2 linked regions of the Ovis aries genome follow. The protein of the gene in region 1 interacts with the protein of each later gene in a biochemical or structural test. Links are inferred from orthologs where the notes say so. Each region holds a gene or a part of one and is shown on either strand. Other genes may lie near its edges.

Region 1 (3,814 bases):
TGGAGCAGATACATTAAAGTTTGATGTATGGAGGGATGGCTGTGGTTGAGGGAAGAGAGAAAGTACGTGAAAGCTGGCATATTTCAGACATAGGAAAGCCCTTGTAGATTTCTGAAAGGAAAATAGCATTGCTAGGATGGAAAGGACAGCTCTTGATTCTGGTTATAGAATGGCTTAGTGTGAGAAGTAGTTGGAAGTTACTTTATAAGAGATTGTTGCGTTAGTCAGATGACAGACTGTGGATATTGGATGTAAGCTATGAAAATGAGGAGGAAGGAACAGATCCTGAATTCTAGGACCTAAAAACATGACAGAAGAAAAGTCAAAGAAAATGGTAAGTGAGCTGAACATACCGCTGAGCTTGCAGTTTGATTTAACAAAGTTTACTGACCACCAGGCATGTGTAAGACACCGGACTAGATGCTCTGAGATATAAATGAATGTGGCTCAGTCCCCGCCCTCTAGAAACTTACAATTCAGTTGGAGAAATTGACATATACTTATATTGTTATATAAGATAGACTGTATTACAAAGAATAAAATGACCTTTTTTAAAAACAAAAAATCAGATCATACCATTCTCTGCACAGTACTTATCTTTGACTTTCCAACCCATCCAGAGTTTGTTCATTTTTTAAAAATTGAGATATAAGTCACATACCATAAATTTCACCCTTCTAAAGGATACAATTCCATGATTTTTTATTAGTATTTTCATAAGGTTGTACAACTATCACTGATAGCTAACTCTAGAACATTGTCACCACCCCAGAAAGAAACCTTGTACCTTTTGGCATTTACTCTCTGTTCCCCTCTTCACCCAGCCCCTGGCAACACTGATCTGTTTTATGTCTCTGGGTTTGTCTGTTGTGGGCATTCCGTATGAATGGAATCATGTAATATTGGGCCTTTTGTGTCAGTTGTCCATGCTGTAGTATGTATCATTACTTGATTTCTGTCCTTATAATGCCCTGTGAGATGGTACACAACTGAGTATCCCACCTCATCTGTTCTTATTTTCCCCCTTGCCACTGTGCTCCAACCCTTCTAATTTCATTGCCATTTCTCAAACATATCAAGCATACTCCTGCTGCAGGAGTTTTGAGTGGTAAAATGCTCTTTTCCCCAGAGAGCCATGTGACTTGCTTTCTAACTTCTTCAGTTCTTTCTTCATATGTCATATTCTCAGTGGTGTCTCCCTTGATGACTCTATTTAAATATGGCACTCCTTCCATCCTTAGCCCCAATTTCCTGCCTTATTTTTCTCCCTTGCATTTATCAGGCTTATGTGATTCGAGCTATGGTTTAAAAATGGGTACTTTGTCACCATGTGTAGAATTGATTAGATATGAAGGGCATGAGGGAGTCTAGGTGAGAGGAGTTGAGAGTTTGGATTGGGATAGTCATAATCAAAATGGTGAAGGGAGTATATTCATTCAGTATTATTAAGCATTTGCTATATGCCAGGTGTGGTGGTGCTAGTCCTGAAAATGTAAGGATAAAAAGATATGATCCCTAACCTGAAAAAACTCACCACTTAATGTAGTAAGAATCACCTAAAGAACTTTTTTAAAATTCAAACTTGGGTCCTTTGTTATGGGCTGTTGGAGTCTCAGTGAGGATGAGGTAGACATGTAATTTGGAACAGCTTTTTACAGTGATAGAAATGTTTTGAATTGGGTGGCTACTGAGCACTTGAAATATAACTAGTGCAATTAAGAAACAATTTTAAATTTCATGTAGTTTTTATTTAGTGGCTGTTGTATTAGAGCACATCTACTGACATACATAAATTATAGCACAGTGACATACGTCTGGTAAAGAGCCTTGTACTATGGAGCGTACGGTTCTTCCCCCATCTTAAGCTGTCTCACTGGTGCATGTAACAATTCACACATGGGAATAGGTCCTGGGATTTAGAAATGAACAGGTGAATGGTGAAGAGGAAGCAATCAAAGATAGAAACTAAAACTTTAATGTCAACAAGTGTTAGAGGTTTACAGGGTAGTGTCAGTGAAATAAAAATCATGTGATTCTTGACCCTTTTTCTTCAAATTCTAGGTTGCAGTCTGTAACTTGGCTTCCCTGGCCCTGAATATGTATGTCACATCAGAACACACATATGACTTTACAAAGTTGGCTGAAGTCACCAAAGTCATTGTCCGAAATTTGAATAAAATTATTGATATTAACTACTACCCTGTCCCAGAGGTATGAATAGATTTCTCTGCTTATTGCTAATAATTGAAATCCAAGGTGGAAGGAGTTGATCATAGTCTTCTAGTCATCATGTTATCATTGGAATGATTGGAATGGTGTGAGAAAACTGAGAGTGTGTCCTTTGGTACAGAATGTTGGTTTTACTGTTCATTAATGTCATCTCTTTCTTTTCTAAACCTGTTGGCACAAAGGCAAGCTTGTCGAATAAACGCCATCGCCCCATTGGAATTGGGGTGCAAGGTCTGGCAGATGCTTTTATTCTGATGAGGTACCCTTTTGAGAGTCCAGAGGCCCAGTTATTGAATAAGCAGATCTTTGAAACCATTTATTATGGAGCCTTGGAAGCCAGCTGTGACCTGGCCAAGGAGTATGGCCCATATGAAACCTATGAGGGCTCTCCAGTCAGCAAAGGAGTAAGTATACAGATGAAATTTCTCTTTGCTTGTGAGTTCCTGTAGTAGGCTTAATGGTAGCCCTCAAAAAGATGTTCACATCCTAATGTCTGGGACCTCTGACTATTAAATTATTTGGTTTGAAAAGGGTCTTTGCAGATGTAATTGAGATTATCCTGGATTATCTAGGTGGGCCCTAAATCCAGTGACAGTTGTCCTTACAAGAGACATAGAGAAGAAGGAGCAACAACCATAGAGGCAGAGGTTGGAGAGATGTAGCCACAGCCCAGGAGAATTGAAGCCACTAGAAGCTGGGAGAGGCAAAGAACAGAATCTCCTCTAGAGCCTGGGGATGGAGGGGGCCTTCCCAACATACTGAGTTTGAGCTTCCGGCCTCCAAGACTGCAAGAGAACAAATTTTTGTTATTTTAAGCCACTAAAGTTGTAATTTGTTACACCAGACATCTGAAGCTCATATAGTCCTTTTGTTCTCTGGAGTAAAAAGTATATTCTATTTTAATCTCTTTTATTTAAAACTAATTATTGCTAAAAGACGTAGGAAGAATGCTGAGTTAGTTTGTTTTTTTTTTTCCTTTTTGGATGGGTGGGGAAAGGAGCGGTGCCTTGCATGGCTTGTAGGATCTTAGTTCCCTGACCAGGGATCCTGAGCCCACAGTAGTGAAAACACTGAATCTTAACTACTAGATCACCAGGGAACTCCCAGGTATTAGTTTTCTATAACAAAACTTAGCAGATTAAAACAATATACATTCAGTATCAATTTCTATGGGTCAGGAGTGCAGACTTGGGTTAGCTTAATCTCTGGGTCTCTCAAAGTCAAGATGTCAGTAGAAGTTGTGGTCTCATCTCAGGCATAGTCCTCCAAGCCCTCCTGGTTGTTCATTTCCTTGCAGTTCTAGAGCTCATGGTATCTTACGTCTTCAAAGCCAGTAGGAGGGAGAGTCCCTCATTTCAAGAGCCCCAGTCCAGTCACCATTTTGGGTATTTTCATTTGTCAGGTCAGGGCCACCCAGGATAATCTCCCTTTTTGCTAAAAAATTAAACTGATTCTCAACCTTACTTGCATCTGCAGAAACCCTTCACATTTGTCACAATGTGTGAGTGACATCCATCGTGTTTCCAGGTCCTATATATACTGAAGAGGAGGAGAGTATGAGGGCCTATATCCCAGGAGATGGGAA
Region 2 (4,496 bases), on another chromosome or scaffold:
GAAGGTACATGCCGACGGGGAAACTGACGTCTGTGAGTTGCTTTCAAACACATGATTGAGACCAAAGTTTTAGTTGTTGCTTTGTCTAAGAGATATAATGGTCGCTGGTCTTTCTTCTCAGGCTTAGAGAACACTTTAAACACAGTATACAGTACTTTTAGAAATAGACCTCTGTGGGGAGGTCCCTACCCCCACCTCTTAAAAGTATTATATCTAGAAAAGACATTGTACAAAATCCAAGCCTCACTCAGTGACAGCCCTGAGTGTGTGCGCTGTTAGAGCTTATCCTGGTTAATCATTTCTTTCCTGGATCTCATCAGTCATTCCTGGCGTTTTGCCACATGCAGGGCAAAAATCTACGGCAAATTTGAAAGGCCAAGTGTAAAGTAAAATTAAAATGTTACTAAGTTTATGTCTCCACCATCACCCCAATGGAGGTTTTCAACCTCCTCTTCAAGCTCTCTGAGGCCCAATAAGCAGTAAATGGGCTTGTTTAGGCTTCCCTGGTGGCTCAGACGTAAAACGTCTGCTTGCAGTGCGGGAGACCGGGGTTCGATCCCTGGGTCAGGAATATCCCCTGGAGAAGGAAATGGCAACCCACTCCAGTACTCTTGCCTGGAAAATCCCATGGACGGAGGAGCCTGGTGGGCTACAGTCCACGGGGTCGCAAAGAGTCGGACACAACTGAACGACTTCACTTTTAAAGCAGTAAATGAAGTCATAGTTATTCAATCATTCTCTGAACTTTTTCTCTGAATCTTCGCTCAGTTTGCAATTTTAAAAACACTGTCTACGTTGAGGGCGAGATTTCAGGGGGAAACTTCACCAAAGACCCTCTCTCTCTGTTATCAGCTTGAAGGTTTACAATGGACTTCGTATTGTTCATGAATGACCTCATTTAGTCTTCTTACTTTATTAGAAAGCCCACAGCTTAGATATGGCTGCAAGCCCATTTCACCAGCGAGGGGACAACAGATGACGTGTCCAAGGGACACAGCCATTGCACCCCGGGGACCCTGTAGTTCCGCGGCCCTAACCGTTAGGCGGTCACCACCGGCCAGCCCCCTCCTTTGCCGGACCTCAGGAACCTGGCACCCCCACCCAGGTACACACACGTATCCAGATCGCCGCAGCCACATCTCCCTCGCAGCCAGGGGCGTTTTAAGGGCCTCCGTACCAAGCTCATCTGCAAAAACCATTTACGCGGAACCGAGAGCCGGGTTCCAGAGAGGTCTTCAGAGAGGTGGGGCTCCGCGGGGGTGGGGAATTCGCTCCCGCTCGCGGGCTGGCGGGCTCCAATCGCGTTGCTTCATTCAATCCCAAACCGTCCCGGGGACGCGCGCGAGAGCCTGCGCGCCCGCTAGGGCGCACGGAGCGCGCAGGGGCTACAGCCTTTGTGCGACTAGGCCCTCGGCGAGGCGGGCGGCGGCGCCCGCGGCCCCCCAGAGGCCTGGGAGGGGCAGGTGCCGGGGGGTCCCGGTAGGGCAGGGACTGGGGGGTCAGCCTGTGCTCCCGCGCAGCGCTTGAATCTGTGTGGGGTGGGTGGGGGCAGCCGGGATCCAGCCAATGGGGAAGTGTCCCCGCCCACTGGGCCGGCGCCCGGAGCTTTAAATATTCTCCCGCGGGGCCGTGCAGGGGCTCTCGGGACTCGCGCGCAACCCCTATCACACTGACCTTCTCGCCACCATGCTCTCCGTCCGCGTCCCGCTCGCCACCATCGCTGACCCGCAGCAGCAGCAGCTCTCGCCCCTGAAGGGGCTCAGCCTAGCAGACAAGGAGAACACTGTGAGCGCCGCGGGGGGCGGGGGCAGGGCGGCAGGGTCCTGTGGGGGGGTGGGTGGGGGCGCGGGCAGGCCTCTGACCATGCGCCTCCCTGCAGCCCCCTTCCCTCAGCGGGACCCGCGTGCTGGCCAGCAAGACCGCGAGGAGGATCTTCCAGGAGCCCTCCGAGCCGGTGAGTAGGTGGGCTGCGGTGGGGGCGCCCGGCGAGGGGGCGCTGCAGGCAAGGAGGTGCGGGCGGAGGCTGCTTGGCGCCAAAGCCTCATTGTCTGCTCTCAAACCCTACCCACCTCTCCCGGGCGCGCGCTGCTTTCCCGCCAAAGTCTGTTCCCTCCCCAGCACCACTGCACATCTGGACATTTCCTATTTCCCTAAACTCCTATAGAATCCAAGTATGACAACCGACTTATATTCAGCCCCATGAAATTTCTGATCATTGGAGGTATTCTGCTTGAAAAAAAAATGACAGTTTCATGGTTCGCCCTATACTTAACTTTTTTTTTCCCTTTTTCTCCCCCAACAGAACCCTAAGCTATCTGCCCCCAGTGTGGAGGACGAACCACTTCTGAGAGAAAACCCCCGCCGCTTTGTCATCTTTCCTATCGAATACCATGATATTTGGCAGATGTATAAGAAAGCTGAGGCTTCCTTTTGGACAGCTGAGGAGGTAATCAGATGCAGCAACTAGGAGACTTAAAAGACCCTTTGCCCATTGCCTCTCTAGAGGAAGACTCCAGCCGGGCCGGCTATATAACATGTTTGAAATATGCTTTGCTGCCCTCTCTGTCCCTCTTTGGAATGGTTGTTCACTCAGGACATGAGATGTTCAAATTGGCAGAATGAGGAGTATATAAATCAGGTGGTGCTGGTAGACTTATTAAAGTTGAACAATTAGGCCTACGTGTGAGGGTCCTGCCGGCTTGAACCCTTCGTGAACTTTTGTATTTCAGGTGGACCTTTCCAAGGACATTCAGCACTGGGAAGCCCTGAAGCCTGAGGAGAGATATTTTATTTCCCATGTGCTGGCTTTCTTTGCAGCAAGTGATGGCATAGTAAATGAAAACTTGGTGAGTTCCCCCCCATCTGCCCCTCACCCCCGAAAAAGTACCTTTATTCAAGATTTATGAGAGAACTAACAATTCTCTTTTTTGTCTTTTAAAATTTTGCACACTGAATGGGTATATATATATATATATATATCTATCTGTAAACCAGGGTTTATATTCTATGGCATTTTCTGTTCTATAGTGTACTTTGCAGTTATTTCTTCCTTATGGTATTTTTTCCCCCAACTGTAGAGAAACAATGTTAAGACAATATTAAGTGATAGTAATAGATCCAGAACCCTAGTAACTATCTATTTGCTCTCCTTTTTGTGGCTTTGTTGTTTTTTTTTAATAACTGGTCACATATATGTCTTGAGTGCATCCTCCTTGGAATGAATGGAAATGAATTACTATGTCTAGCTTATAATGATACAAAAAAGGAAGTGTGAGGCAACCAGTGTTCATTGAACTGCTGCTGGTAGATTTTCCTTAAACTGATCTTTGTGTTTTACCACTAGGTGGAGCGGTTTAGCCAAGAAGTTCAGATTACCGAGGCTCGTTGTTTCTATGGCTTCCAAATTGCCATGGAAAACATACATTCTGAAATGTATAGTCTCCTCATTGACACTTACATTAAAGATTCCAAAGAAAGGTGAGTATTTGGGTGGTGATATGCCAACATATTTAGGATTACTAGTTGTTACTTTTTGAAATTGTGTAGGGATAGGAAAATGACTCTAAAATGAGCAAGTCAAAGAAATTCCTAGCACCCATGGTCATGTCTGCTCTTAAGAACAGGCCTAAATGCACTTTACTAGTCCGTTGCTAAAAACAGTTATAAGGTTACTCCATCCTTTTAGAGCTGGAAACATACTAATGAACATCCAATCTAATGCCTTCTGAAAAAACATTCCAAGAGACTGTCTGATGAGCTAAACCTTAGGTTTGATAGTTTTCACGTCTGGCAAATCTGTCAACCTACAGTGTGAGGCTGGTACAGGGTGGAGTGGGGAGAGGATACAAAGTTGAAGATAAAACCAGCCTCTTAAGGGGCTTGCAACATAATATAGAAAATAAGACCTAGGAATATAAATGGAGGAATTATATAATAAATAGCACAGAGGCGGCAGTGAACCATGAAATTAATTCAGGCACACAGCAATTTGCCTGAAATGATGGTATATGTTGGGGAGTAACCGAGAAGAAATGTGAGTAGCGTAGGGACTATTTAACATTGTCAGGATTGACTGGAGAGGAGGGGAGCACTAGAAATAGGCATTTGAGTAGTCTGGATACTAAAGTCAGCTTCAGGACAAGAGCCTGTGTAGAACAGAAGTGGTGAAGCTGAGGAATAGCCTTTTGTAGATGATGTGGAAGAAAGTGAGGAGGGAAAATGAGTGATGACTTGGAAGGCCAGCAGGATGGAGGAAACTCTGCGGGTGTGGAGGGTGGGGTTGTAAAATGATTTGAACATGTTTGCAGACAGAAATGAGACAGAAATGAAAAAAGATAGTAAAGGTAGGGCATGATTGGAGGAGATTACCAGAAGGGAGGGATCAGAAAGGCCTGATGGTTGAGCTTTGAAAGCTAGGGAGAGGCAAGACCCAGGTTGACAAGGAAAGAGAATAAAAGGAGCCCAAGGTCTGATGAAAACAAGCTCACTGGGACAGG

What was found.
Region 2: the proteins of RRM1 (region 1) and RRM2 form a complex in vitro, tested with the Homo sapiens proteins (3 studies listed by BioGRID and IntAct). The link is inferred for Ovis aries from reciprocal best matches to the Homo sapiens genes RRM1 and RRM2.

What each region holds. Positions count from the first base shown.
Region 1 is NC_056068.1:49,755,616-49,759,429, reverse strand, and holds part of RRM1 (ribonucleoside-diphosphate reductase large subunit), read left to right. Parts: intron 1-2,061; coding exon 2,062-2,211; intron 2,212-2,411; coding exon 2,412-2,633; intron 2,634-3,814. UniProt on the Homo sapiens protein: Provides the precursors necessary for DNA synthesis. Catalyzes the biosynthesis of deoxyribonucleotides from the corresponding ribonucleotides.
Region 2 is NC_056056.1:19,306,647-19,311,142, forward strand, and holds the start of RRM2 (ribonucleoside-diphosphate reductase subunit M2), read left to right. Parts: upstream 1-1,635; 5' UTR 1,636-1,686; coding exon 1,687-1,785; intron 1,786-1,879; coding exon 1,880-1,954; intron 1,955-2,302; coding exon 2,303-2,446; intron 2,447-2,729; coding exon 2,730-2,846; intron 2,847-3,343; coding exon 3,344-3,477; intron 3,478-4,496. UniProt on the Homo sapiens protein: Provides the precursors necessary for DNA synthesis. Catalyzes the biosynthesis of deoxyribonucleotides from the corresponding ribonucleotides. Inhibits Wnt signaling.